Notamacropus eugenii: one gene and its partners. The protein of the gene in region 4 interacts with the protein of the main gene of each other region in a pairwise test. Links are inferred from orthologs where the notes say so. Each region holds a gene or a part of one and is shown on either strand. Other genes may lie near its edges.

What was found.
Region 1: the proteins of TRIM63 (region 4) and PDHB interact in a two-hybrid assay, tested with the Homo sapiens proteins (2 studies listed by BioGRID). The link is inferred for Notamacropus eugenii from reciprocal best matches to the Homo sapiens genes TRIM63 and PDHB.
Region 2: the proteins of TRIM63 (region 4) and TNNI2 interact in a two-hybrid assay, tested with the Homo sapiens proteins (2 studies listed by BioGRID and IntAct). The link is inferred for Notamacropus eugenii from reciprocal best matches to the Homo sapiens genes TRIM63 and TNNI2.
Region 3: the proteins of TRIM63 (region 4) and MYOZ1 interact in a two-hybrid assay, tested with the Homo sapiens proteins (2 studies listed by BioGRID and IntAct). The link is inferred for Notamacropus eugenii from reciprocal best matches to the Homo sapiens genes TRIM63 and MYOZ1.

The regions. Positions count from the first base shown.
Region 1 is NC_092874.1:466,872,130-466,880,054, reverse strand, and holds the start of PDHB (pyruvate dehydrogenase E1 component subunit beta, mitochondrial), read right to left. Parts: upstream 3,003-7,925; 5' UTR 2,602-3,002; coding exon 2,554-2,601; intron 2,463-2,553; coding exon 2,409-2,462; intron 2,292-2,408; exon of another isoform or gene 2,170-2,291; intron 1,708-2,169; exon of another isoform or gene 1,550-1,707; coding exon of another isoform or gene 1,541-1,549; coding exon 1,433-1,540; intron 1,353-1,432; coding exon 1,290-1,352; intron 1,205-1,289; coding exon 1,169-1,204; intron 1,038-1,168; coding exon 752-1,037; intron 1-751. UniProt on the Homo sapiens protein: The pyruvate dehydrogenase complex catalyzes the overall conversion of pyruvate to acetyl-CoA and CO(2), and thereby links the glycolytic pathway to the tricarboxylic cycle.
Region 2 is NC_092873.1:25,972,501-25,980,205, reverse strand, and holds TNNI2 (troponin I, fast skeletal muscle), read left to right. Parts: upstream 1-4,702; 5' UTR 4,703-4,786; intron 4,787-5,079; 5' UTR 5,080-5,085; coding exon 5,086-5,208; intron 5,209-5,638; coding exon 5,639-5,728; intron 5,729-5,953; coding exon 5,954-6,130; intron 6,131-7,030; coding exon 7,031-7,126; 3' UTR 7,127-7,497; downstream 7,498-7,705. UniProt on the Homo sapiens protein: Troponin I is the inhibitory subunit of troponin, the thin filament regulatory complex which confers calcium-sensitivity to striated muscle actomyosin ATPase activity.
Region 3 is NC_092872.1:236,700,732-236,708,025, reverse strand, and holds the start of MYOZ1 (myozenin-1), read right to left. Parts: upstream 3,016-7,294; 5' UTR 780-3,015; intron 275-779; exon of another isoform or gene 164-274; intron 1-163. Other genes in the region: SYNPO2L (synaptopodin 2-like protein), read right to left, coding at 5,002-7,172. UniProt on the Homo sapiens protein: Myozenins may serve as intracellular binding proteins involved in linking Z-disk proteins such as alpha-actinin, gamma-filamin, TCAP/telethonin, LDB3/ZASP and localizing calcineurin signaling to the sarcomere.
Region 4 is NC_092876.1:67,065,206-67,072,056, reverse strand, and holds the start of TRIM63 (E3 ubiquitin-protein ligase TRIM63), read left to right. Parts: upstream 1-3,841; 5' UTR 3,842-3,930; intron 3,931-6,851. UniProt on the Homo sapiens protein: E3 ubiquitin ligase. Mediates the ubiquitination and subsequent proteasomal degradation of CKM, GMEB1 and HIBADH.

The DNA of each region.
Region 1 (7,925 bases), on a different chromosome or scaffold from region 4:
TCCTCTCCTCCCCACCCCATGGCCAACGCCTCCCTAGGAGAACTGAAGGATGCCACAAGGGAGGGGGGAAAGCGGGAAGTGCCCAGCTCATGGGGGACAGCAAAACTCTGGAGCCCTGCCAGAGCTCAAATAAAATGTGTATGGGAAATTAACAAAATAGATAAAAAATATAGCCCACAGAATGTTAATTTGAGGTTTTCTAAGTCAATGTGAAGTCCAAAAAGATCAGAGGGATTTCAAGTCTGTTTCAGGCTATTTTTTAAACAAGTATCGGGGAGTGTTAAGGATGACTAACTACTCATGTAGATTAAATATAAATCAATGACATTAACCTCTAGAAGAGTTCCCTTAAAAAAGCTGTGTTTTATATGAGGAAATCTCAACTGCTGTAGTTTTAAAAGACAGCTAAGCTTAATAATGGCTTGTCTATATTACATTCATCTTAGCTAATCCGGCTCTTCTGCTTATTAAAATTAAAGCATGTCAGAAATCCAGAGATGCTATGGATCACAAGCCAGGACAGGGGCAAACACACGTTTTCTCTGAACGTCAGGATATTATTCACATTCAAACAGGAAGAAATCAAGATTTAAAAACAAAACTAGTTTCTCTCTTCAAGTCATCTGATTAAAACTAGCTAAAGGTTCAGTTCCTTTAAAATGGGCATGTTTTACTCTCATTTCTAAGGTTTTCCCCAACTATAAAATTCTACGGAAGATTCTCTGTAAATCAGAAGGAAAAAAGGACTCACCGGGATTGTCATCCCGGATTGCTGATTTCATAAGGCCTTTTGAATCCTCTGCACTCCAAGGACTGACCACTTTTAATCCAGGACAGTGCCCATACCAAGCTGCAAAACACTGGGAATGCTGGGCAGCCACCCCAGCGGAAGCACCATTCGGTCCCCTGAAGACAATGGGCACCGACTGAAGCCCACCTGACATATAGTAAGTCTTGGCAGCTGAGTTTATAACCTGGTCGATTGCTTGCATAGAGAAATTGAAGGTCATAAATTCACAAATTGGCCTCAATCCTGCCTGTTAAATTAGGAAAAAACCCAACATAACTAAGTAGCTTAACGAAAAGGAAAAAAGTATCAACTACCATTGTTGCATTACGTTAAAACAATTTAAGATCAAGCCGAAAATGACCCATGTGCCTTACTTACCATGGCTGCCCCTACGGCAATCCCGGCAAAGCCCATCTGAAAAGCAAAAGCTCGGTGTGGAGGGCAGGCCTCGGCCAGCCACACTCCCGCCTCCCCACGGTCTGTCCCGCGGGCGCCCTACCTCGGATATGGGGGTGTCGATAATTCTCTTGTCTCCGTACTTCTTCCACAGGCCTCTGCTGACCTGCAGTGAACACGAAGGCAGAGCCGGTTACCGCGGGGCGGCCAGGCCCGCCGGGGGCACCCCGAATCCTTGGTCATTACCTTGTAGGCGCCATCGTACTGGGCAACCTCCTCTCCGAGCAGGAAGACCTTCTCGTCCCGTTCCAGCTCTTCGTCCATGGCCTGATTCAAAGCATCTCGAACGGTCACCTGTGGCATCGGGAGGGCGCTCGGTCCGAAGCGGCCCAGGCCCCTCCCAGGGCTCCCCTGCCAGTCCAGGACGGTCCGGGAGAATGGGAGTGGGCCAACCCAGAGAGCCAAGGTCACCGCAGGAACGACCCCAAACCGCCCCTAAGCCAAGCCAAGGTCGCATCCCCCTGCAGACACAATCCAAGCTACAGCCAGAGCGTGGGGACAAAGTCGTCCATCCCGGGCCTATCCGGCTCCTTCCCTGGGAATCCGGGGCAGAATGTTTGCTTTTAATTAAATTAAACTGATTAGAACCTATTTTGGTGGAACATATGATTAAAGAACCGGAAACAGGGGAGGGGGATTTGGAAAAGGGCCATGGCCAAGTTAGCCCAGAAAAGTGGGCGATGGGGGACGGCTGTGACCGGGGGTCTGCCTTTCCTCGTAAAGCTGAGGCTCCCTTGGGGAAAGGGGGGTGCAAGAGGGAAGCCTGGGGACCCTGGGGTTACGTTTTCTGGCTTTCTATATGTGTTCGCTAGTTTTCAACACTCTCCAATTTTCTACAGGCTCGAGCCGCTTGCGGGGGGCGATGCTAACTCTGGGGGGGCCCCTTGGGGGTGGAGAGAAAGGAAGGAGCATTTATTAAGCACCTCGGGGCACGAAGGGATCCTTAGCCGTCTCGGGAGGCAAACACGCCTGCCCTCAACGGGCTTACACTCCTCCACGGGCGGCCCCGCCCCCAGTCGGGCAGAGGTCCGGGACTGCAGCCCAGTAGACGGCGCCCCACCCCCACGCAGGAGTCTAATACGCAGGCGCAGCCCCGGCCTCCCTCCTCTCCGCCCCCCCCCCCCCCCCCTCGCCCCGCGGCCCCTGCCGCCCTACCCCGTACCTGCAGCGCCGCGGGCGCCGAGCGGTGGAAGCGCCTCCGCAGCAACCGGGACACCTGGCGGGCAGGGAGAGAGAACGAAAGTCAGTGGGGTGGAGGGGCCGGGGCCGGCGTGGGAGGGGTGTCTTCTCTTCGGGGTCGCGCCTACCTGCTGGCCGCAGCCGGTGAGCCCTCTTCGCACTAGCCCCGTCGCCATCTTGCCCGTGTCCTCTACCGGTGACGGAGGCTCGGTCTAATGACAACGGCGAGCCATAGCGAGGGGACGGGTCGGCCCCTCCCCTGACCTCGACACCGTCCAATGGGAGGGCGCGGTGTGCGCGTGCTTCCCTCCTTCCCGCTCTGGGAGGCGGGGCAAGGGCGGGACCCCAAAGCCAGACAGCCTGGGATTGGAGCTCGCGTGTGTCCCTTTCCGCCGGAGGCGCCACCTGATTTCGATTAAAATAAACTTTATTGATAGCGTCGGGGCGCACACTCAGAGGGCACGCCGTGCCCTTTGCCTGCGACCGAGCGTGGGTTGAAATCCCAGGCTCCTTTTAGCCCTGACGCTCAGTTCTCCTTCCTGGAGAGCCTTTCGGTCCGCAAAGCTCCTTTGAAGTCTCTGACCCTCCGTTCTTTGATTCCCCTGCTAGATAACGGCTAATTGTCCAGGCAGTCCGCCTGGCCCAGTGTGTGTTGTGGGAGGCGAAGGGGCTCATACTTGGTTGTAAATATCAGCTCTTGAGCTCCACTTGATTGTAAATGTCAGCTTTGTAAATTTCAGCTGAGAGGTCGGCTTTGTAAATATCAGCCCTGGAGGCCGGCTAGGATACTAAGTATCACCTAGGAGACCCGCCCATCTCCATCGAGTAGCTTGGAGAGAGTCCATCTACAGGCATGTAACTTTTTAAAAATTCCATTTTGTTTTATTTTCAGTTTCTAATTTTTCTCTCCAGCCCACTGGGAAAGCAAGAAAAACATAACACAAGTTACAGATAGATGCGTGTCAGGCAAAACTAATGATCACATTAGCCAGGTTAAAAAACACAACAAACTTTGTCCCCTGAGACCGATGCCTTTCGGTGCAGATGCGTAATCTTTCTCATTATGAGGCAGTGCTCTGGAATTGTGAGTGGTCATTTCGATAATTCCTAAATCTTTCACCGTTGAATTCTACTGTGGTGCTGTTGTTATCGTGTGGTTTCCCTGGTTCTGATCACTTCGTTTTGCATCAGTTCCTGTAAGTCTTCTCAGGTTTCTTTGAAACGATGCTCTACACCCACGAGCTCACATTTTAACAAGGAAGACAACTTGCAAATAGCTGTTTACAACTTAGTCAAGGTTTTTTCAAAAGCTTAAAATTTGCACCAAGGCTTTTGGGATGCCCTGTATGCAAAATAGCTGGGAGGGCAGAGAAAAGCTTCCTGAAGAAGATGGTGTTTGAGCTGAGTCTCGAAGCCCCCCCACGGAAGCTGGCCAGTGTGGATGGGTGGAAAGAACATCGAGGGCCTGGGTACAGCTACCAGCTCTAACACCTTTATTACCTGCACAGCTTCAAACAAGTTACATAACACATCTGAGCCTCAGTTTCCTCAAAAGTATAATGAGAGGATTGGAGCAGGTGGCTTCTGGGACTTTTCCCAGCTTTGAATCCGTGATCCATTGAGCAAGGACTTTCCTGGCAACATCCTTGACGGTACAGCGGAATCCACAGCCTCTTACACCCTTAGACAGCACTTGATGACTTTCACCCCAGATCTTCCTTCTGGGGACAGATAAAGCAAGACGAGTTCCTAGGAAATGCATCAGTACTTCAGACACCACACCTGAAGACAGTTATCAGGGTGACTCTAAACCTTCCAAACAGTACTAACCTTCACATGCTATGACCTATGGAAAGGGACCCTTCAATAAGGCGGTTCTCTCTACCTGTATCTGCTGCCCTGCCAGGTTTCAAGTCCACGAACAAGATGCCCCAGCCCCTGGTACCCTTTGGTGTCTCTCCCTTTCTTTCTGTGTTCTACCGGCTTTCCTGCAGTCTTTTGGGTGTTACCTCCTTTAGATTTTAAGCTCCCAGAGCACAGGCACTAACATTCTTTTTGTTATTTGTGTCCTCAGCACTTAGAACACTATTATCATAGACACTATTTATTGGCTTGCTGGTTTGGCAATTCAATTTATTTATTTAGGCAATTCAGTTTCATTAAATGCTTACTGTGTACTAAGCACTGGAAAAAACCAAAACAATCCCAGCCTCCAAGAATTAATATGAGACTGAATAGAGGGGCTGGGACTAGAGTCAGGAGGGCCCAAGTTCAAATCTGACCTTGGACATTTATTAGCTATATGACCCTAGGCAAGTCACTTAACCTCAGTTTCCTTACCTGTAAAATGGGAATAATAATAGCACCTACGTCACAGGATTGTTGTGAGGATTAAATGAGATATTTCTTAAAAGTGCTTAGCAGGGCATCCAATTTATATAAATGCTTATTCCTTTTTCTTCCTCTTGGGGTGGGAAGAAGAAAGTAGCATATAGGTAAACACAAGATAACTTCTGGGGGGAGAAAGTACTGGCAACTGGCAGAATCAGGAAAGACTTCCTGTAGGAGATGGTCTCTGAACCAAGAAGAAGCCAGAGATTGTATGAAGCTCAGGTAAGAAGGGAAGGTTTGAAGGGAAATGGAAGATGGAATAGTGCCTCCTTGACTGGAGCAGAGAGTAGGGGAAAGGAAGGAATACAAGTCAGTCTGGACAGGTAGTGGAAGCCAGGCTCTGAAGGGTTTTATAAATCAAGATTAACTATTGGTATTTTTATCCTTGAATCAGTAGGGATCCACTTGGGGCCTTTGAGCAGAATTATTAATGCCTATATAGTCATGGATGGTTGAATTAGGGGACCAAATGCCCCCCAATGTCTTTTTCTCTTTATTAGTCACATTTTCTCCTCCTTACTCTTCTCTAACATGCCACCAAGGCTGAAGCAAATTAGGGCAGTAGCCTCGGTCGAAGCCTTTGGTTACTCAGACACCTAACAAGGAGGGATTGAGGAGGTTTGGAGTTGGTAGAGCAGGTTCAGGTGTGAAAGAATTCACTTAGACCTTCACTTATAGCCAATAGGAACTTTTTATTTTAACTTGAAAAAAGCATCATAGTGCAAATCAGAACAACACTGAGGTACCACATTACATCTATCAGATTGACTAACATGGCAAAACAGGAAGATGATAAATGTTGGAGAATATGTGGGAGAGTTGGAACACTAATTCATTGTTGGTGGAGCTGCGAGCGCATCCAACCATTCTGGAGAGCAATTTGAAACTGTGCCCAAAGGGCTACAAAAATGTGCATACCCTTTGACCCAGCAATATTGCTTCTAGGACTGTATCCCAAAGAGATCATAAAAATGGGAAAGGGTCCTACATGTACAAAAATATCTATAGCCACTCTCTTTGTGGTGAGCAAAAACTGGGAATCAAGAGGATGCCCATCAATTGAGGAATGGCTGAACAAGTTGTGGTACATGAATGTAATGGAATACTATTGTGCTGTAAGAAATGATGAACAGGAAGACTTCAGAGAGGCCTGGAAAGACTTTTATGAACTGATGCTGAGTGAAAGGAGCAGAACCAGGAGATCATTGTACACAGCAACAACCACAGTGTGCGAGGAATTTTTCTGGTAGACTTAGTCCTTCATAACAATGGAAGGACCTAAAAAAATTCCCAGTGGGTTCTTGAGGCAAAATGCCTTCAACATCCAGAGAAAGAACTATGGAATTGGATCACAGAATGAAGCCAACCTTTTTCTTTTGTATTATGTTATATTTTGTTTTATGGTTTCTCCCCTTCATTTTAATTCTTCTATGCAACATGACTAAGGTGAAAATGTATTTAATAGGAATGTATGTGTAGAACCTATATGAGATTGCATGCTGTCTTGGGGAGGGAGTGGAGAGGGAAGGGAAAAAATCTAAGATATATGGAAGTGATTGTAGAACACTGAAAACAAGTAAAATAATTAAAAAAGAAAAATTTTAAAAAATTAAAAAAAGAAGAAAAGAGCATCACGGGGCTCCTTAGCAAGATGGCTAAGTAAAGTCTCAATATTCAGGCCTCAAGTTATGCTTATGAAGAGATTTCAGAATGATGATGTAGTTTTAGAGATTTTTATGGGGGTTGAAGATTAGGGACATAATGAGGAAGATGGATGACAGGAAGATGAGTAAGGAAGATGGGGGAAATTTTATGGGTAAGGGGGAAGTTTTATGGTTTAAGGATTTAAGGACAGGGCAGGAGGATATGGGTTAAAAATTAAAGGACCCAAGGAACACAGAATAAGGGAGACAAAAGCAATTCTTTTGGTACAGGTTCAAGATAATTGGGAAAAGGACTTTAGGGTGCCTTCAGGTTACAGAATAAACTAGGGGCTTCACAAAGTACTAGAAAAGCAACCTTATTTTTTTTTAACTCTTAGGGCACTGTTTGTATCTTAATCGTGACTTAGTTGTTATGGGGCATGTTGAAGGAGCCAGTGTTTACCAAGGAAGACTGACCATTCGTCCACCCACACAAGAGTCTGCCATTCACTAAGGTCAGGCTAAGTTAAACTGCCCTTTCCCTCTTTCTGGTCATACTCCTCAGCTCAGGCCACACATTATTTTTCCTCTTCCCCTTCAGGATTGTCCTGGATTTAAGTCTTTTCAACTTCTGGAATATGAAGTTTGGAGGAGATGTGAGCTAAGTGGTGAAGATGGTGGGTTCTGTTTTCAAGAAGCCTAAACAATTCCCAGGTGAAGATGTCTGACAGGCGGTTGGAATGCAGGAGAGAAATCAGGGTAAAATGCACAGCTGTTAGGGTCAGAGGAGGTCCTTTTTGTTGACAGTATTGTCTTTGGGGAGACTCTAGAAGAACATGAGGAAACACTGGAAAAAGTATTGGATCAACTAGGGCAGAAGTTCCCCAACTTGTTTGTCCTACCACTAACTTTTCAAAAAAAAAGAAAATTACTCGATGCCACCCTGGAAATCTACTTTCTTTTACCTTTTAACGAGTTTGTTTGTTTGTTTGTTTTTGATGTTTGCATCATTTCAAAAAAATATAGGATATAAGATATAATAAAATATAGGATATAATTTTTTTTGAAATGATGCATCTTAAATTTAATAATTTATTATTTTTATGTTTTTTTTCCTGTATTGAAATTTTGATGATGCAGTATTTTGTCATGTAACAGTATAGTGTATTGTAAAAAGGCATTACCTGCAGATATTCCTGCTGACGTGTGCTGGACTTCCCGACAATGTGTGACACACTCACTTGCCAACACTTGATTGTTAAGACCTGATCAGGACTTGACCACTGATTGATTATAACTTGCATTTTGTGTGTTTATTTGGAAAATAAATATAATCACTACCCTGTTATACTACAGAGGAAACATGTACAAACAACTTTCAAAATTTTATCTTCTTTTCTTATGCTTCCCCTGCCCCTTTATTTTTGTTCAATATCCCTTAATTATACCCTAGGCTACTCCCTCCC
Region 2 (7,705 bases), on a different chromosome or scaffold from region 4:
AGCCCCCCTCACACTCATTCCTAACTTCTCAGTTATTGGCCAGGGCCATCACCATCATCTCAATCCCTCAGACTTGCAACCTAGGAGGCATCCTGGATGCCTCCCTCTCTCTCATGCCCCAGATCTAATATAGTGCCAAGGCTTGTAGATTTCACCTCTGCAGCACCTCTGGTCGATTTCACCTCTGCAGCACCTCTGGTCGACTTCACCTCTGCAGCACCTCTGGTCGATTTCACCTCTGCAGCACCTCTGGTTGACTTCACCTCTGCAGCACCTGTGGTTGATTTCACCTCTGCAGCACCTGTGGTTGATTTCACCTCTGCAGCATCTGTCATATACATCCCCTTCTCTCCTCTTACACTGCCTTGACCATGATACAGACCTTCATTCCCCCATTCCAGAATTATTGCAATAGCTGTCAGAGGGGTTGGGGGAGGGGGATCTACCTGTCTCAAGTTTCTCCCCCCACAATCATTCCTCTACTCAGATGCCAAAGTGATTTTCTTCTAAAGCCCCACCTCTCCAAGTCTATTACATCCAGGATCAAATATAAACTCCTCTAGTGTTTAAGGCCTTTCACAATGAGCCCCCTTCCCACCTTTCTAGTCTTTTTCCCTCCACCCACCCTGTGATCCAGCCCCACTGGCCAACACTCCATCTCCTGACTCCAAGTCTTTGCATTGGCGGTCTCCTATGCCTGGAATGCCCTCCCTCCTCACTTCCACCTCCAGCAGGAGGCCTTTTCAGGCCCCTCCCACATCCCTGGAGATGACCTATGTTCTGTGTAGTTTTGCAATGCACCTAGTTATTTACCTGTTGTCTTCCCCATTAGATTATGACCTCGTTGAGGGAAGGTAACATGTGTTTGCCTTTCACTTTATCATGGTGCCTTGCACACAGTAAGTACTTAATAAAGGCTCATTGACTGTCAGTAGCCCCATGAGGAGGGTGGTCTATGGGAAAAACAAGGCTAAATTATTTTGCTGCCTTGAGGCACCCAGATGAGGTCAGAGGTGACCTGCAGAGGCAGAACTGTCCTCATGACCTGTAGGCAGTACCTTTTCTTTCAAGACACTGCTGTGGAGCCCAAGGCAGAGCCATGCCTCTCTCTGGCCCTTGGCTCTGTGCAGCCGAAAGGAGGTCTGAGTGGGACTGGGCTGAGCAGACACTATTCCAGGGTAGCTCCTCAGAAGCCCAAGGTATCTTGGGCTTGTCACAAAGTCCTAAATAGATTTACTCCTGTCCAGCCCTTCTCTTCCTTCTCTCTCTCCTCCCTCTCCCTTGATGGATCCTCTCCTTTCCTGCCTCCCTCCCCCGTCCCCCACATCTCCAGGACTCCCTAGGGAGGTCTCTGAGTCTCCGTCCCTCATTGGTCTGAGAAAGCTGCCATGCCCTTACAGAGCTAGGGCCCCCGCCCTCGACGCCCATTTATACCCCCTCCCACTAGGCCCAGCTGCTGGGACTCCATCTCGTGTCCTGACCTCTTACCATCTGCTGGGTACTTTTCAGGGAAGCTAGGTGAGCCTCTGAGGGCAGGGGTCCCTGAGGGCTGGGGTCTCTGAGGATTGGGGCAGGGCTTCCAGGGAGGAGGCAGGTGAAATTCAAGGTGGAGGCACTCTGCTGGGAACATGTTCTCTGTGGGAGGGCTCACTTTGCTCTAGCTGACTCACTGTGGGACTTCCATGGTGGTGGTGCGGAGCCCAGGACCCCCACATCCCTTTGGTTGTATCCAGAGGCTCAGGATGGAGATGAGCATTGGACCTGATTTGGAGAAATACTTTCTGGGTGGCTAGATCTCCCTCCTGAAGAAGCTGGGGATGGGGAGTGGCTGGATGGTCACTCCTCATTACTAAGGCCTGAGCAGAGCCCCCACCCCCACACCAGGAGATGGGCTGAAGGGTGGAGTCATTTTCTTCTCCCTGAAGCAAGGGGCTGAAGGGGGCCAGGTCTATAAATATCTCCTCTCCTCTAGTCTGAGAGGCCACCTGTGCTGGCCTGTCCCCTTAGTGAAGACTCAGCCCCCCACCCCCTGCAGCCTGAGTTGAGTGGAGAAGGAGTCACTCAAGGAAACAGCTGCTGCAGCAATTTGTAATCCAGCCCCCCACTCCCCACCCCAACACACAAATATCATCCCATTTTTAGAAGCACTTTCTCTGACCCCTGGGCATTTTCCAAGACCAGGTTGACCAGGGAGGAAAGGGCCCTTGGGTGGGGGTGCCAGGAACCCCTCAAACCTTTTGGGGAAGGCCTCTAGTTGGGGAGGGGACCTCATTTCCCTTTTATCTACCTCTCTCCACAGGTTCTAACATCAAGATCTCAATATGGGAGAGTGAGTATCCCTTACACTGCCCTTCCCCACCCGGTTCAGCCTTACCTGATTTTCTAGCGTTTATCCTCTAGGCCTGACTCTAACTTGTCTTCTCTCTTTCCTTGCCTCCCTTTCCTCCCTCTCTGACCAGTGAAGAGGTAAGTACCAGCTGGGGGGGGGAGGGGGGGTTGGAGGTTTGGGGATAAGCCCTGAGGCAAGGAGAGGGATGGGGATGTGGGCAGAGCAAAAGTCGCCATCTCCAGGGCTTAGAGCATTTATCTCCTCTCCCTGGGGCAGGGGGATTCTCCTGCCTTCTCTTTCTCCCCTCTTCCCCCATCTGAAATGCTCTGGCCAAGTCAGTCCTTCCCAGAAAAAGCTGGCCTAAGAATCCCCCAAACCTCCCATTCTGTCCTAGTCTGTCTGTCCTCCAGGGACAGGGACTGATTTGGAGCAATTAGAGGATGAATCCAAGATCCCACTGACTCAGTGGGTTCATGCCAAAGAAGGGAAGACAGGCGTGTGTGTGAGCCTGGGGGGCAGCAATCTGCCCTGTGGCCATGCCTACACCTATGTCTACCACCCTTAAGGAGTCTCAGACTTCCTCGGTTCAAGGTCCAGGACTTGGGGATGTGACCTAAATGGAGAGACTCCTCACTGGTTTGACCACTCCTGGGGGCATCGACGCTGGGCTGCCCCCTCAGACCCCACTCCCCATAAAAGTGTCTGGGCCTGAGGCTCAGATTCTCCCTGTACTCACTTGCCTGGCACCCACACCTGAACCCCAGAAATGCCCCCAGCTCATTCCTGATTGACTCTTACCATCTCTGGCTCCTTTCCTTCCCTATTCCAGTCTGCTCTGACCTGGCTCCCACCCCTTTCCTATCCCTGCAGCCCCCCAGGCTCAGGCTTATCCCTCTTGCTGGCACCCCCCCCACACACAGCAAGGCCTGGTCCCTGGTCAACCCTCCTTGAACTCTCTTTTCCCTCCCCCTATACACTATGCACACACACACACACAGACACACACACGCTACTCTGGTGAAACTGAGGAAGTGGTCAGGTCAAGGCGGGGAACAGGGGAAGTGAAGAAAGAGAGGCCCCCCCTCCTTCCCTCCACCTGCTCCCCCAGGGGTTCACACCCACACCTCCAGGCTCTCCCAGGAGCACTTCCAAACCCTTCCCCCATCCTCAGAAGGTCCTTCCCATGAGTGTAGAGAACAAGATGGCTACAATGTATCCTCTGCTCCCCCCCCTTTCTGACAAGGGAGGGGGGGGGAGGAGAGAAGGGAGGGGAGGAAGGTGGAGGAGAGAAGGGAGGGGAGGAAGGGGGAGGAGAGAAGGGAGGGGAGGAAAGGGGAGGAGAGAAGGGAGGGGAGGAAGGTGGAGGAGAGAAGGGAGGGGAGGAAGGGGGAGGAGAGAAGGGAGGGGAGGAAAGGGGAGGAGAGAAGGGAGGGGAGGAAGGGGGAGGAGAGAAGGGAGGGGAGGAAGGGGGAGGAGAGAAGGGAGGGGAGGAAGGTGGAGGAGAGAAGGGAGGGGAGGAAGGGGGAGGAGAGAAGGGAGGGGAGGAAGGGGGAGGAGAGAGGGGAAGGGAGGGAGGAAGGAGAGGGGAGGAAGAAAAAGAGGGGAAGGAGAGAGAGAGGGGAGGGGAGGGGAGGGACAGAGAAAGAGCCAGGGCCTGGAGGCCAGTTTAGGCTCCACTACCCTGCCTCCCACCCCACCCCACTCCCCATAATGATATAAAATTATAACAAAACCTGTAACAAAATATATCAAATTATAACCAGAAGGCTTCACCTGGCAGAGGCCTAATTCACAGATGAGGAAACAGGCTGAGGGTCACAGCTGGGGGGAGCAGGGCAGAGCTGGCACTTGGCCTCTGTTGTGGTTCCTGCTATTTGGGGAAATCTGCCTCTGGGGCTGAGAGAGTCCCAGGGTTCACCTCCCAGCTCGTGTGACCCTGACTGGGCCAGTTGCCTCACCTCTATCTGCCTCGGCGTCCTCATCTGTAGAATGGGGATAGTTACTCTGAGGGTGTTAAGCAATGGTGTCTGGTGTCGAGCTCGAGTGGAAAAGGAGACAACTGTCCAGGGTGCCTGTGGGCTGCACGCTGATGCAAGAATTTGCACCATAATATTATTTATATGTTCTTGAAGTTTTACTAAGTTTGTTAAATATTCCCAGTCCCACGTTAGCCTGGTCCTCAGCGGGGACCTGGGCTCTGTATTTGACATCCCTGGTGTAACAGCTCTAAAAACCCTCTCGACATGACAGAGATTATCATGAAGATTCTGCAAAAGACTCTGGACCTAGCTTTTCCCTTTCTGCAAAATGGGAGAGAAGCAGGCCCTATGTCTGCCTGGCAGAGGCTGGATTGGGGAAATACGGAAGGAGGTGGGCAGGACACAGGCCTAACCTGTTTCCCTCTGCCCTCTGCAGAAAAGGAACCGAGCCATCACGGCCCGCAGGCAGCACCTGAAGGTATGGTCCTGAGGGGCTCCTCTTGGGGAGGGGGGATATCTGAAGCCTGGAGGTAGGGAGAGATGAAAGGGCCCCAAAAGAAGGACCAAAGAATAAGGATGAGTGAGGGGCAATGATGCTTCCATGAGTAGCCTGTAGCTGAGTTTCCAAATGGGCTGTTCTGGACCCTGAAAGGGCTGGGGGACCTTTGGGGCCTGTCAGGGGTGAGGGGCCCTGCTGCCCTGGGGGTAGCCTCCAGCGGTCCCTGCCCCACTCACAGTCTCCCCATCTTTCTTGGGGTCTGCCCCTCCCAGAGTGTCATGCTCCAGATAGCTGCCACTGAGCTGGAGAAAGAGGAGGCCCGCCGGGAATCTGAGAAGGCCAACTACCTGTCTGAGCATTGCCCACCCTTGCACCTGCCAGGGTCTATGTCTGAAGTGCAGGTAAGAGGGACCAGACTGTTGTCCTCTGCCCTCTGCCCTCTCTGGTGTGGCTTGCTTACTGCCAGGATATGGGATTGGGGACCGGGACACCCCAGGGATTCCCTTCCTGGCTCTGGGCCCCAGAACCCCACCACATCCTCCCTAGTGAGTGCCCCCACCTCCAGCCTGTGTAGGTCTACCTTCCAGGACAGAATCGAGGTGCCCCTCCTGGGTCACCTCTACAGGGATGAGAGGTGCCCAGAATCCCATTCATCAGTCCAGCCCTCCCGTATCTCCTCCACACCATCCCCAGCAACTGGGGGCATCCAGCTACCCCTGCCTAAAGCCCTTGCAAGGCTTCTCTTCTCCATGCTGGACAGCTCCAGCCTGGCCCCAGGCATCAGGCTGGGCTGAAAGCCATTGACCCAGACCTCCCAACCCCCACCCCCAGGACCTCTGCCGGCAGCTCCACGCCAAGGTCGATGCAGCTGAAGAGGAGAAGTATGACATGGAAATGAAGGTTCAGAAAAGCACTAAGGAGGTGTGTGGAAGGCCCGGGGGCCCTGCCCCAGCCCCTGCTGTTGGTCCTGGGCCCACTTGTTCAGGCTAGCTCCTGCCCAACTCTGGTGGGTGCCTGGACCTGCCCCTTCTCCTTCCCTACTCTGTCCTGGGGGGGGTACAGATGGGAGAAGCCTTCGGGAAGAAGAACCTCAGGGAGCCAGGTCTGGGGTTGGGAGGGACGTGGCCTTCCCCTACCTCCCTGCAGCTGGAAGACATGAACCAGAAACTCTTTGACCTTCGGGGCAAGTTCAAGAGGCCTCCTCTGAGGAGGGTGCGGATGTCCGCCGATGCCATGCTGAAGGCCCTGCTGGGCTCCAAGCACAAGGTGTGTATGGACCTGAGAGCCAACCTGAAGCAAGTGAAGAAAGAGGACACTGAGAAGGTAAGAGGGGGAGGGGAGCGCCCCTCCCCCCAGCATTCAGCCCTCCTCCCTCCTCCCTCCATTCTCCTCTCCCTCCTTCCTCCCCCTCCTCCCTCAGCCCTCATGGTCCACTGCCCACTCTTCCTTCCCTTGAGCTGCTCACACCCACCCACCCTCCATGGCACTGGTGTCAGACCAAGCACAGTTTTCCTGGCTGTAGGTGAGATTAGGCCTGTTTCACACTCAAGGAAATGGAAACAGAGGGGTTGAGGCATTTGCCCACAGCCACAGCCACAGAAGTGGTGGATCTGGGACTTGGAGCCATAAGCCACGTGTGTGCTGGGGGTCCTGGGGACCAGATGACTTCTGCTGTCCAGGAATAACCATTCCCAACTCTGGGAAAGGGGCTCAGCCTCCAGCTCAGGCCAGCTCTGGGCACCAGCTCTGGGTACCAGCTGAGCCTGAGGCTCCCAAGCTTTAGGAAGTACCTCACCCCTGCCAGAGGAAGGTGATGGTGAAGGGGACACGCCACAGACCTTACACAGGCTCTCCCTTAGATCTCTCACTTTTAGGCCCTGAATACTAGGGGGGCATCTTGCTCCCCACAAGGTCTGATCCCTCCCAGATGGCTCCCAGCTCCCATCTCCCTAACTTTGTAAAGTACTCCTATCTCTGTCAGCCTGAGGAATCTGGGGGGAGGGAGAAGGGAGAATCCAGGAGGAGGCCCAGGGAGACCCAAGGCACTAGTGGGACCAGGTCTAGCTGACTGCTGTCCCCCCAAGATAGGTCTGCTTTTTCTTGGTTCTCAGGAGCATATTGCTCCAGAGGATATCGCTGAGGTCAAAGCCCCCGCTGTGGCTGGGCTGGGCTAGGGACAGCAGGAGGAGAGTGCCTCTGAGCCTCATCTGTTATCACCTCCAGGAAAGGGACCTTCGTGATGTGGGTGACTGGAGGAAGAACATTGAAGAAAAGTCTGGAATGGAGGGCAGAAAGAAGATGTTTGAGACTGAATCCTAGACCTTCCTGCTTGCCTGCCTGCAGCTGCCTGCTTGCCCGCCTGCAGCTTCCTGCTTGCCTACTTGCCTGCCCACTCACCCGCCCATCTCCCAGGCCTCCTCACTCCTACCCCAGTCCTATGTATTCCAGGCCCATCTCTTACTCCTTTGCCAATGCCAGCCCCTCAGAACCTGGCTCCTTGCCCTGCCTGTGGCCCCAAGGACCCCTGCACAGACTCAGCTCTGCTTGGCTGCACTTTTCCAAAGGGCCCAAGTGAGTGAGAGGGGATGGAAAGAGAAGCAGAAGTCAGTCCCTGCACCCAGGTGTGCAGTAGGGTGGGGGCCCACCCTCTCCAGAAACTTTAGCCATGTAAATAAAGCTTTGGAAGTCCAGCTGGTCTGTCTGTCCCTTCCCTCTCACTGGTCACAGCAAGCATCCATGGACCTCAGGGATGTCCAAAGTTTCCCTGGGGCAATCAATCATCACACAGAATCACATTATGTATGGAGAAACTGAGACCTGGAAGGGCAGGCCTTCTCCAAAGTCACATTCTAAGTTAGTGACTCAGACTTACTGAGTCTCAGACCTGGGTTCCTTCCA
Region 3 (7,294 bases), on a different chromosome or scaffold from region 4:
GAGAGGGCTGGAATCTGAGGCCCATTCTGCCAAGGCAAAGAGGTTTCTGCCTGCCAAAAATATTTCCTATGGAGAGAAGGAATTGTCAATTCTCTCTGCTGGTTGTCCTTTGGCCTTAAGAGACAATATAACTCCCTTCTCCCAACACTCCAGCTCCCCTTACCCTCACACTAGGGGTCTCCCCTCAAGGGATCCCTAACTCTCAGTAGTTCAGTAATCTCAAAGGAGCAGAAAACTAAATGAGGAGCTTGGCTCTGTGTAGAAGTCACTGTAATTGGATCTGGGAGTAGAGTGGGAGATGAGTTGGAAGGAACATCTGCCTCCAGCTCTACTCTGGGCACAGGCCCCAGTCCCTCCCAGACAGAAATGGCAATTCAGCACAATCTTTCTGCTTCTGCTCAGTCCATTCCCCCCACCCCCAACTCCACCCCAGCTACAGCTTTTATATAATTGCAAGGGCTAGCCACCTAGTCAGGTTAAAGTTAAAGCCTTTTGATGAACTCATCCTCACCTCCTTGAACCCCCTCTCCTAGTTCCTCATTTCCACTTAGTTCCAGACTTCCTGAGCCCCTTTCCCTTTTTTCCAGTGCCCTTCCCCCATCTCTTTGGCCTAGCCAACCCCCTCCCCAAAGCTGTCCAGCCTGCATCCTTCATTCCCTGCTCCCTAAACTCCCTGGCTAGTCTTCCAATCTTCTTGATGATCCTTACTTTATACATTCTCCACCCATGCCCTCCTCCACCACAGGACAGCTGAGCCAAGAGGGTGAGGGGGCACTCACCAAGGGTCACAGCTGCAGACACAGACACAGGACCAGTTCGAATGGGAGCTTCAGACCTTCAGGCTGAACAGGTTGGGAGTTTGTGGTTGGAGCCGGTATGCTTAGAGTCTCCCCCAGGGGTCCAGTTGCTGTGGAGAGCTGAGCAGCTCTGACCTGAGAACCTGAGCTGGGCCGGTGTGGGAGTGGTGGAGGGGGGGGGGGGGTTATTAATAGAGATGATGAGTGAGAGCAGCTCAGATGGCATTGGGGAATACTGAGACCCTGGCCTAAGACCCCGCCCTCCAGGAGCAGAGAGGACACTCGGACTCAAGCAACTGAGCTGCCTGAGCTATATTCATGATGGATCTGAGCCCCATTTGTGCATCTCCCTCTCCCCTATTATCGCAGACAAAGACCTAAAAAGCATCCAGGACAAAGAAGCCCCTAGGGGTGAAGTGAAGGGGAAGGGAGAGAAGAGATATTTAAGTCTTATTATGGAGAAGAAGATAGGGAAGACATCAGTGGCTCCATCGGGGAGCTGAGGGGAAGTGGAGGAGAGGGGTGAGGTGTGCAGAGGGAACCTGGAAAGGTCAGTGAGAAAAAGAAAGGGGATTTCATTGTGACTGAAATCTGATGTTCTGAACACCCAGAAAGTACTTCTGGTTGGCAAGGGAGGAACAGGCCTCACCTTTAAGTAGATTCTTCTGTCCCAGGGGTCCCCTGAATGAACCTCAGACAGGCCACCAGGGCTTGTGGGGTCCAGCTCCTTCCACCCTCTTCTTTTACAACCTGTACCTTCTTTCTTTCTCCTGTCTAACCTCTGCTCCAGAGTTTCCAGTAGCTTTTTCAAGAGAGGGCAGGTGGATTCTTGGCCTCCAGCTCTTGTAAGCCAATGTTTGTTTTTGTGAGTCCTGAGTCTCGAGCTCAAAAGTTTTGGATGACAAAGTCCATGAAATACCTTCAGGTTCTCCAGCCCTGCCAGCTTTCTTTGGGTCTCCCCAGCTTTCAGGTTCTTTCACCGAACTTCCATTCTTCTTTTTTTTTTTTTTGCCTGGGACTCTTTATCTCACCCAGGGTAGAAGTGCCACAGCCTGTGGTGAGCTGACCCCACTGCAGACCAGGCTGGAAACTTTGATTTCAAGTTCTGACCTGGGTGGGTTCAGCCCTAGTGGCTCAGGGGAGCTCACCATCCTGGGTCCAGTTTAGCTTGGGCACTTTAGCCCCACTACCATTCAGAATTCCTGAGTTCAAGTGATTCACCAACCCTGGGAGCCACACTGCCCAGAAGCCCTGCCTGCCAAGACTTTTCAATCTTAAGACAGATGTCCATATTGTTATTGTTACTATCACCCTGATCCAGCTAATGATCTGATTTTAAGAACCCCTTTAAGAGAATTCTATTTGTATCCTCCTCAAACCCTGAACTTCACCTATACCTGCCCCAGCACTTATTACATGTGGATCTGGGATCTATCTCTCAACACTCCTTTTGTTCGTGTCCCTGACCCTTTCCTCACTGAGCTTTAGCTACTTTAGGGAATGGTTCCCTAAATCCCAGAACACCTCCCACCACCCTGAGGTCTGCATTTTTGGGGTGCTACCCAAATTGGCCTGGGTCCCTACTACTTGTTATTTACCTTCTGTCCTCATTCCTGCCCACTTACTCTGATTCAAAATAAGTTTTAAAAAAATCAGTAAATACTGGTTTCTGTGATTGATTAGAACCACCTGGTGAGATGGGAGCACCCATATGCTCTCCTGCCTAAACCTTAGGTTTCTATGGGAATTTTTACGATTCCTGTGGGGCTTTCATGGAGTCTTGGGCCGATTGGTGGCACAAGCATGCCCTCTACTGACAGGATAGGAAATGTGACACTCTCCCTTCCTAAAAACCGTCTGTCCCCCCTCCCCTACAAAAGTGGTGATTTTTTTCTTTATGGCCAGTCTTGGGCTTTCTTCACTATCACTGGCCCCATCCCAAGATTCTCAGTGACAAACAAGTATAGGGACAACAAACAGGACCTGTCGTCTCAAAGATCTCTCAGTTCTACCTAAAGAGCAGATTCTCTGCTGTGGAGCACTTGAGAGAAATGGAGAAAATGTATGTGTATGTAGATAAATATGTTTGCATGTATGTATATATGTATACGTGTGTTACTGGGAGATGATGGAGAAAAGCAAAAAAAGGTCCAAGCAGAATGAATAAGAAGAGGGACATGGGGGAGAATAGGGAAGAGGAGGTGGATGGATGGGGAAAGCAGAGAATGAACAGGAGCCAAGGGGAGCCGCAGAACAAGCAGAGAAGAGGATGTTGTGTAGAAACTGAGGACAAAGGCATGATTGAGAGGCGAGGTAACTAATAAGATGTAGGATACAGGTTTATTACTGTGCACAAATCAAAGTAGAGTGACTCACACCTGAGACATAAGGGAAACAACTTAAAAACCAAGCAGCAGAAGTGATTGGGGGAGGAGTGCATCCCATATTCTGCTCCCCTTGCTCTTAACCCCTCACCCCCACTCCTGGCTCAGCAATCAGGGTCTAAAGCCCAAAGCAGGGAAATGGGGACCTAAATTCTATGGGAATAGGAAGGGCTAGGAGACTGTGGTTCTAGATATTTTCCTGCCCCCACCTGGGTGCTCATAGTGCCAGAAGGAGGGATACAGACTGAAGGACAGACACAAAGGAAGCAGCACGGGCTCTGAGGGCCTTCTCCCCACTTATTGGAGGCAGCTAGGTGATACAATGGATAGAATGCTACACCTGGAGTCAGGATGACTCGAGTTCCAATTCAGCTCAGACACTTACTAGCTGTATGACCTGGGACAAGTCACTTAACTTCTATTCACCTCATTTTTCTCATCTTTAAAATGGGTATAATAATAGCACCTCCCTTCCAGGGTCCTTGTGAGGCTCAAATGAGATATTTGTAAAGCATTTAGCATAGTGCCTGACACACCTGACACATTGTAAGTGATATACAAATGTTAGCTATTATGATTATTGTACTTCACTGATATACACTCTACTGTCATCCCTCCCTGACTCTGCTCTAACAACTCCTGTCCCTAAAGTTCAGTCATACAACCCCTCTCCTGCACAGTCTGTCTTTACCCACTTTCATTCTGACAACACCCATTCTCACACCCCCACACTTTGCCTCACTCTGGCCTAGTCACTCCAGCTTCTCTTTTGCCCCCATTTTCTGTTCCAAGTGCCATGTTCTAAGACAGTAGCCCCTTAATGACTTAGATCCATGAGACTGAGAAGCCAATGATTCATCCCTCCTTAAAGGAAGTTTTCCATTCTTCACAACCCACTACTCAGGTTAACTTAGCATAGGCCTTTGGAGATTCCCACCCTCCTCCCATCCTAAGGAATCTGTCTTCATTCCAAACAAACTTAAGTCTGTCCTTTCATCATCCTCAAAGTTGCCCTGGTTCATCAGTTTCTCTACTCCCATACCCAACTCTTTACCCACCCTACCCCCCAGTAGCAAGAGTGGTTGACTGAGATCTAAGGAAGACTAGAAAAAGTTTTAGGGATTAGAAATCATCTCAACAGGAATTCCATTAAGATACCCCCATTTCCAAAAAATGTGTCTCTCAGTTTTGTGGGGTACTATACAGATCACCTGAGAGATAAGTGAATGATCTCTCAGCTTTTCTTTAACAGAAAGGCTTTTTTTCTATACATGACCTTAGCAGAGCTGTGGGTAGAGCCCAGGTTGGAACTCACCTCCCTATTCCTCCTTACCTTTGGTAAACACAAAGCACACGTGTCTAGGTGTGAGCCAGGTTTGGAGAAGAGGAGAAAGGAGAGGCCTAGAACACCTGCCAGGCAGCAGGTTCCTTCTCTCATCAGTTACCCAGGCCTAAGGCTACAAGAGCAGTGCCTTCTCTTTGCATTTGGGTTCAGTCAACTTACTACATGCAGGCCAACAGAGAAAAGCAAAGCATCAAAGGAGAGAAACAAAAATAGAGGGGCACAATAACAGAATGAATAGGGAGAAAAAGGCAGTGAGAGGAACAAAGACACACAAGTTGAGAAACAGACCAAAAAAGAGTCAAGAGATAGAGCAGAGAAAGCTGGACAGACAAAAAGTACCAGGAAAGGAAGGACTAAGCCTGCCCTGGCAGGGGAACTTTCTCCAGGTATCTAGAAAAGAGGGTTTGGGGTGGCAGAAATAACTCTGAGACCTTGCTAGGTACTCCATTTTCTGGCTCCCTTGGCTGTTCCCAATTCACTGATGGCCTGCTCCAGGTCTCCATACGTGTGCCTGCAATCCAGAGCTGGCAGCTGAGAACCGGGGTCTGGCCACCTGGAAGTTGCAGGAACCAGGGGAGGCCCCGAGAGCTCGAGGAGACTCTAGAGTTGGAGCTGGGCTAGGGGCATGAATTGGAGCTGGGGGTATTTCTACTCTCCAGATGGGCTCATCCAGTGAAGTGGCGGCTCTAGGAGTGAGCACAGTTGGGGCCAAGGGCTCAGAAGTGGGTTGGGGAGCTGGGGTAGAGAATCGACGTATCTCATGAACTCGAGCGGTCTTAGAAGACCCTGGGGGAATAGGGCTAGGGGTTGGAGGAATCTCATCAAAGCAGAACATGGCAGCTTTGAGTTGGTATGGCTGGTGCCTCATGAAGTCGATGGCTTTGATGCCTGGCTTTGTGGTTGTTCGGGGTCCCTGAGGCTGCGTTCGGCTGGGAAGGGTTCTGGCAGCCAGTGGGAAAAATGGAGAAAGCAGTGGATTGTAGGCAATGGGAGGTGGGGCGCGGATATTGGGGGAGTATTTCCATGAAGGAGGCAATGAAGGGGTAGGAGAGGGGCTTCGGGGTTGGGAGCTAAAGATTGTACTACGACCAGGACCAGGACCAGGTGTGGTTTCCACTACATACCTATCTACCCGGCTCTGCCTCTTTGCAAATAGCTCTCCACCTCGACCCTGTAGTCTAGGTGGTTCAGGGAGGACCCTTGTGGAGGGAACAGTCCCATTCACTAGACCATCAGGAAGACCCCGGGGTGCAGGCTTGGGTGCCACAGGGGGTGGGGTCTTAGGTGCCGCAGGAGGTGGGGTCTTAGGTGTCACAGGGGGTGGGGTCTTGAAACTTCGGCCACCTGTAGGCTGCATGAAGTTGCAGGCTTCAGCCCCTAGACTCAGGGCATCCTCTTCAGGACCAGACTCAGTCCCTCCTGGCCTAGGTTTCTCATCCAAGTTCTGTACCAATGACAGCAGCTCAGGGTTGGGTGAATTTTTTTTCTCTTCATTCCCCCCACGGAACATTTGTTTACGCCCTCCTCGGCGCCGTGCCTCCTGCAGGATGCCTGTGCGGGGAGCAGGCACAGATATTCTCTGCTCCCGGGTACTGGGAGCCTCAGGGGCAGCATTACTTGAATTGGATGTCATGGGGAGTCCAGTTGGCCTCAGGGGAGAAGACAGGAAGATGGAAGCAGTGGAGGTCATAGCAGCCGTGGGGTGAGAGGCCTGAGAGTCAGGGGGACCTCCAGGTGTAATGGACCTATTTGGGGCAGGAATATATAAGGAGGTGGTAGCTGTCACTGGGCCTGAGGAACATGAGGCATTGGTGGAGATGGAGAGTGGTATGTTACCAGGATCCTTTGGGGTGGAGAAGCTGGGGGTAAGGCTGGGACCTTGGGGTGGTGACAAGAATGGGGGAAGAACAGGACTGGGACTCCTGAGACTTTCATTTGCCTTCTTTGGGGCAAGGGGACGGAAAACAACGGAAGTGGTTACTGGGCGCTGCCCTTGGAATCCTGGAGTGAATGGTCTTGCTGAACGGTTGAAAATGCCTGTGGCTGGGAAAGGGGCTAAAGAAATGGGACTGGTAGCAGGGGGTGGCATTGGACTGGGGGGTAACAAGGCTACCTCTGGGGGGGTGCTCTGGGGCCGTGGGGGTGGAGGGCCCCTCCCATTCATCAGGGCTGGGGGGGTGTCATTAGGTTGTTCCAGGGAGCTAGAGGCTGCCCGCTGCCGTTGCTGCTCAAAAAGCCGTGCCCCTCTCCCTGAAGCTTCACTGAGGCCACCCCCTGGCCCTGGTCCTGGCCCTTCTGCTGTGCCTGAACCTGAGCGGGCCAGTTCCATGTCCAGATAGGGGCTATCCCAGTCTGGCTGGTTAGTGAGGCTTCGGGCATCTGAGAAGGTCTCCTCCTCCAGCTCAGACTCACTGGTCGGGGGGATGCCGTCTTCCTCCTCCTCCCCTCCTGCCCCTGATCCCTCTCCTGCTGCAGCCCCAAAGCTGACCAGGGTGTACTTCTTGGCCCGTTGCCTCCTCTTCTTAAACATAAGCACTCCCTTGGAGTGAGGATTGGGTGCAGCTGTCAGCAGGGATGCGATTGTCCGGCATTTGGTCTTGGCCTCTTTTATGTTCTTCTCTTGAACACTCTCTGTGCGCTGGAGTTCTGAAGGAAACGAAGGTATGAGAATGGTCAGTGGACCCTCCAAGAAGTCCTGTTCCCCACTGCAGACTGCTGAGCCCCGTGGGTTTTTCCTGCCTCAGTCAGCCTCCTCTTTTCTTTCCTCT
Region 4 (6,851 bases):
AGGGATTTGAACATGAATGGCCTCTAAGGTCCTCTTTCTAATTCTACGATCTTATGATAATCCTATAGAGCAATGAACAGTCAGTCCCTGGATGTGCATAAAACATGAACGTAGAAAAGATCAAGGAAGAAGTTGGAGATCATTGAGAACAGAATTCAGGTCCCAGAATTTAACTCTTCCCATACCAATCTGATCTTCCATAAGTCCTTGAATTCCTATTTTTCCTTTCTAGGTTAGCCTCAAAGTAACCTGATATGGGATTTTCTTCTCATACTACACAGTTTCTACTCCTCTTCCTGGATTACCTAGAAATCCACTTGGGACTTGCTTCTCTATTCCTTTGAAAATGTTAAACATGTTAAGCAATCCCAAACCTTTTGTGTGCTGGTATAGTCATGTCAAATGTTAACCTATTACCCACAGTCAAGAAAAAAACCCTGGCTTTGGCTTTAGAAGGGATGGGTTGCAATTCCTGCTGGGCCACAAACCACCTGGCAAGTCCCTTCCCTTCCCCTCACTGTTCTTCAGTTTTTTCTTCTTGACACAGATTTAGAGTCATGTTTACGTGACTACCCGGGATCGCAGGATTTAGGGTTGGAAAGGACCTTAGTCCAATTCTTCATTTTAAAGATGAAGAAACTGAGATTCCAAAAAGTCAAAGTAACTTCTTCAGGGAGACTGGATAGTACAAGCGAAGCCACCAGAATCTGAACTTGAAGTCTTCTAAGACTATTTCCACTACACCCTGTTATTATCAGTGAGAGCACAACAACTTTATTTCTACAAAAGGTAACTGTAGCACAAAACACGGAGAGCACGGAGTGTTAACATTTTTGCAATAATGAATTACAAAATGCCCAAACACTTTATTACATAGCATCTCTTCCTCAGTGCTAAAGAACACAGTTAACGGCAAAATGCTATATTATTAATCCTCACTTCCCGGGATAAAATAGAAAAAAAACCAGTGGTTATAAAATGCTTTCAGTCAGTCCTACTGACTGAATTAAGCACCTACTATGTGCTATGACCACAACCTAAAATGGTGATTAACTCTGAAATTCCTTTACCTGATCATAATCAAGCCAATTCAAGTCAAGCATTAATTAAGCACCTTCTATGTGCTAACAAATTAACTATAATGTGCTATGTAAATATACTGTTTATTGATATTAATTTTATTAATGTTAAATATTATAATAAATATATACAAATTATTTGGGTTGCTGTGAAGAAGATTCCATGCCATGCCCCTGAGAATGTTGAGCTGTTAGTGAATTCTGGGCCCTTAATAGTATCAATAAAAAAAATTATAATAAGTAATTAAAATATCAGTCCTCGCTTAATGAAGTAAAATAGAAAATGCAGTGGCTATAAAATGTATTCAGTTAGTTGTCAAAACATTTATTAAGCTCCTACTATGTGCTATCAACCACATCCTAAAACACCCATGTTGATTAACTGTGAAATTCCTTTATCTGATCATAATCAAGTCAAACAAACATTTATTAAGCGCCTGCTGTGTGCTAACAAGTACTGGGAATACAAAGAAAGGCAAAAGACAGCAGCTGCCCTCCAGGAGCTCACAGCCTACGGGGGAAGACAACACACAAACAACTCTGCACAAACAAGTCGGAAACCAGGTGGATGGAGAGCCCGGATGCGGACATTCAGCCGCGACCCCCCAGGGAGGGGCAGGCGGGGTGCACGCCCGCACCCAGGCGCCCTAACTTCCCGGGGCTCCTGCCGGGCTCGCGGCGCTCCCGCCGGGCGGGCGGACAGGCACCTGCCCGGCTCCGGACACCGCTTCCGCACTCCGCCGCCCGCGGCCTCGCTCATTGGCCAGCGCACCCGGTCCTTCCCCCCGCTCCCGCTCCGTGCAACTCCAGTGACAGGAGGGGCACTCGGGGGTCCCGGCGCATCCGCGGGGACTGCGGGAGAAACAGCGGGGCACTGAATGCCGGAGCCAGCTGGGGCCTCCGATCCGGGGATGTCGGCGCAGGGAGGACCCTCGGAACTCGGAGCTGAGTTAGGAGATGGGGAGGGGCCTGACCGACCGCCGAGTGCGACCGCCGCCCCCCTTCTTGAACAGAGAGGGAAACTGAGGCCCAAGGTCACGCGGGCCTCTCGGACTGGGCTGCTTCCGCGCGGGAGGGGGAAGGGGGCGGCCCTGCGCTCTCCGGCCCGAGGTCGCCCGGCTGTCAGGTCAGGAGGGGGGGCGGGGGAGAGCCGGGGCCCTCGCACCCCTCAGGCGGCCGGGACCCCGGCAACGGGCCGCCCGAGGGGGGCCGGGCCGCGACCCAGGCCCCAGGGCGCCCACGGTCCACCCAGGTGGGCGGGCCTGGGAGGCGGAAGGCAAGGGCTGCCTGCACGGTCCGGACGGCTTCTTTACCTCAGGGTCGCCGCCGCCGCCTCTCCTTCTCCCGGGCTCTGCAGGCCGCCATTATCGGGCTCCTCGCGCCGCCGCCGCAGCCAGTCCGAGGCCGGCGCGCGCCCCCGCGTGCGGACACACCCCCTTTCCCCGATCTAGGGCCCAACCTCCCCCCCGCCCCAACCTCCCGCTTCGGCCGCACGAGCGCCTTCCCTCATTGGGCGAGCGCTTTCCTAGCGGCTCTCCTTATTGGTCAGGCGCGCGCCCGGCGCCCTGTCCCCGCCTCCCGGTTTCCTCTTGGATCCTAAGAGCCCTCACGGCAGCTGCACTCCGCCGGCGCGAGGCTCCGGCTTCCAGCTGGGCCTCGCAACCCGGAGACCGACGTTGTGCACGCGCTGAGGAACGCACCACTCGCGCCCTTCCCCACAGGGGTGGCTGGGCCTGGGTCGGAGAGGGAGGATACCCTCGAGGCTCGTCGCCTCCTCTGCACGGAGGCGGTTTCCCGCCAGCATCCGGAGCCCAGCGAAGCGTCCCGGGAGGACAGCTGGCCCCGGGCTCGCCCAGCTCTGCAGCGGGTTGGGCTCCGGCCTGTCGCAGAGCCCAGGGCTGCGCCGGCTCTCCGGTCCCCCCCGGGCACCCACCTGCGGCCGGCTTCTTGGCTGCGTTCGCCCCTGTCAGATGCTTTTTGCATTTTCCTCTGTGGTGGGGTGCGGACGCCTGCGGGGCTGGGGAGGAGGCGGCCCCGGGGGAAGGCACGTCCCGGGCCGGGCAGAACCGGCATCCGCCCCTCCGGGAGGAGAGCCCCTCTTGTCACTGTGCCATGTTCCCCCGCACTCTGGGCCCAAGGCCTGGGCTAGGAGCAGGGTGCGTTCCCCTGCCCCCGCCCCTCCCCCCGGCGGCGCGTTGGTATCTCCCTTAAAGAAGCAGGGACCTCATTGTTCTCCGGGCTGAGGGGCCCCGGAGGGACCCTCGGCATTGCCGCAGGGCGGCTGGGCTGACCCTGCCTGGGCGCCCCTCCTGGTCCGAACTCCTGGACTCGTGGGCGCGCCTGGGAGTGTAGGCCCCGCTCCGCACCCGGCGTGGGTCTGGAAGGCACATCAGCCAACTACCTGAGCGCCTACCACGTGCCAGGCTGGCACTTAGCATTTACAAAGCGCCTACTGCGTGTGGGGCACCATGCTCCGCCCCCGCCTCCCACAGCCCCTTGTGCCCACGATGTGCCGGGCACTGTGCTAGGTGGTGGGCATACAAAGAAAATCAAAAAGGAGGTCTGCTCTCAAGGAGCCCCCCATCCAAGTCAGGGACCACCTGGGGATACAGACAGGATGATGGTGGATGATCAGCTGAGGGGGGGCCTTCAGAGGATCCCCTCTGAAGAGGGATCAGAAAAGGCTTCTCGGAGAAGATGCGATTTTAACAGTGCTCACAAGGGCCGGCAGACAGCCAGCAGCCGATCGTCCGAAATCGATAGAACCGACAGCCCTTCTATTAACCAGTAGATTTAAAGCTTCAGCTGCATGGGAGCCAATAGTCAATCCATTAGCCAATGACCAGCAACAGTAAGTCATTCCTTACCCAGATCGAACAGATCGCCACGGAGTCAAGTTAGCAACATTTATTAATTAAGCTCTTACTGTGTGCTAGGCCCTGTGCTAATTAACCTCTGCAAACCACAAAGAAGGGCAACCTCAGTCTTTGCCCTCAAGGAGTTTATAGTCTCAGGGGCAGATGACATGCAAACAGAGACATCCCTGTGAAATGCTTGCAAACCTTAAATCGCTATACAAAGGCTAGCTCTGTTATGTGAAAATAAAATTTAGGGTAAAGTTGGAGGTGATTTCAGAGGGAAGGCCCTACCTAGGTTAAGGGGGGACCAAGAAAGGTTTCTGCAGAAGAAGGTAGGATTTTAGCTGAGACTTGAAGGAAGCCAGGGAAGAAAGGAGGTGGAAATGAGGAGGGAGAAAATCAGGCATGGGGGGAAAATCAGGGGAAGTGTGGTCAGGGGATGGGGCATCTTGTAGGAGGCATAGCATGGAAACTGTGTCACTGGATCAAAAAGTAAGTAGGTGAAAGTAAGGTGTAAGAAGGCAATCATTCAGCCCTCCAGACCAATAACAGACCCCAAAAGGTATTCAGTCAAAGGATACGGGGGTCATTTCTTATTTGCTTTTTTGTGTGTTTAGCCTGTCTCCTCTCTACCTTGTATAAATCAGGCCAGCTCCTATTTTGGCTTCCCCCAAAGATTGTTTTGCTTTTTACATGTAGACTCTAAAGTTTAGCACAATGCCTGGCATCTTGTAAGCTTTTTAATAAATGTTGATTGATTGACTGATACCTGCCCAAGGGAGATAGATTAAATTGCTCTAAGAAACATTTAGCCCTCAAGATCCCTTTCTGTGCAGGTTACTGTCATATTCTGAAAGACTTAGGATGAAAAATGCTCTCTATCTCCAGAGAAAGACTGATGAAGTCTGAATGCAGATTGAAGCATACCTTTTTACTTTATTATTCTTGTTGGGGTTTTTTTGTTTGGTCTTCATTTTCTTTGGCAACATGGCTAATATGGAAATGTTTTGCATGACTGAACATGTATCAAATTGCTTTCTTCTCAAGGAAGGGAGGAAAGGAAAGAAATTGAAACTCAAATTTAAAAAACTATTTAAAATGTTTACATGTAATTGAGAAAAAATAAAAATTAAATATAAAAAAAGTCACTGTCCTGAGAGCCAGAACTTCTTTTTATTCATGGATGAAATCAGACAACCTGTCAAGAAACACTCTTGAGCCATCCTTGGAGTGCTATCCCGCACTTTGATGGTTGTTATATATGAAAACTAGGGCAGCTAGTGCATAGAGCACAGTGCCTGAAATCAAGAAGACTCATCTTGGTGAGTTCAAATCTGGCCTAAGACACTTACTAGCTGTGTGACTGAGCAAGTCACTTCACCCTGTTTGCCTTGGTTTCCTCATCTGTAAAATGAGCTGGAGAAAGAAGTGGCAAAGCACTCTAGTATCTTTGCCAAGAAAACCTGAATGGGATCACCAAGTCTGAAATGAATGAAACAGCTGAACAATAACAATATTTTCAGATCTTTTCCACTTTCTCCTGAATGTTATTTTCCTCCGAGCTTTAAACATCCCTGAGATGACCAATTATAGTTGGATCTGTTGCTGAGCTTTCTTTAAACTAATTTTACCCTCCACTGTTTGTCTGATTCATACTATTCATAATCCAAGTATATACTGGAGAGCCAGTAATTTAATTTTTTAGCATGAGCATTTACACTTCGGAAATCAGTAAACTACTATAAAAAATCCAGGCTTGATATATTGTTTTGTTGATTGTCTAGACTTAAGAAAATGATGGAGAAAAGTTTACTAGTGTATATTAAACTTAAAAGTGTGGCAGCCTTGGGGTACAGCCCCACCCCTACCTCTTAGCCAGCTGTTAAACATTTATCAGTAATCATCCATCTCCTTCTCCGTAAGGTTTTACAAAGGAATTTCTATTTTAATCAGTGTTGCCTTTGGTCACCATCTCCCTGTACTTGACAGGAAAGTCAAGGATTTGCCAATTAAAGTGTTTTTAAGACTCTCTTGTTCTTTTTATGCCATTTGATTTACATCTATTAAACCTCTATGAAATTATTATCTTCTGTCATTCCTTCTATCCATTACCCATTTTTCCCAGCCAATCAATCACAAGTTTAAATTCTTCAGGATTAAATTGTTTCAATTTCATGCCGTATTCTTTTCTCATTATTACTCCGACTGGTTACTCGTTCTGATCTTTGCTCTAACAAGTCAGTAGTCTGACAACTGCTTTAGGATGTCTTTGACATCAATAGTGAGTTTTTTTTCCTGTCCATCAAAGTTGAATCAGTTTCATTTTTTAAATTTTTGATGGTTATTCAATACTTGCCATGACCAGTTCCTAGAAATTCCTGAAAAAAGTATTCATTATGTAAAAGGTTGACGTCTCTGGGTAGTCTGTGATCCCTTGTCTCTTTTCTTTCCTTCTTCCTGATCAGCACTTTTTGATTTGTCACTGGTTCCCACTTTCTTCTTGTCATGTCATCTGTCTCCCCACCACTGCTGCCTTACTTCTCCCCATATGGACCAGCTCCCTGTAGGATCCATGCCCTTAGTCCCTGAGGAAGTTATCCCACTCTGCTTTGGAATACTCATCCACTTTGGGGCTGAATCTTCCTGAATTAATGCAGACTTCCCTAGCTCTCTGTATCTAACCAGCCTCAGGCCTGGTTGTGCTCCATCTAACAAAGCAAGTCCTCCACCAAGGTCTTCTTGTCATCTGCCCCGCTGCCTGTAGTTTTGGAAAAGGTTTGTTGTTTTACTACTCAGCTACTAAGCACCTGAGGTGGTTTTGAACTTGGGTCTTCTTGACTCCAGGTCCAATTCTCTATCTACTATACCACCTAGCTGGTGAGTTAATGGGTAGGGATATATTCCCTTCCTCCTG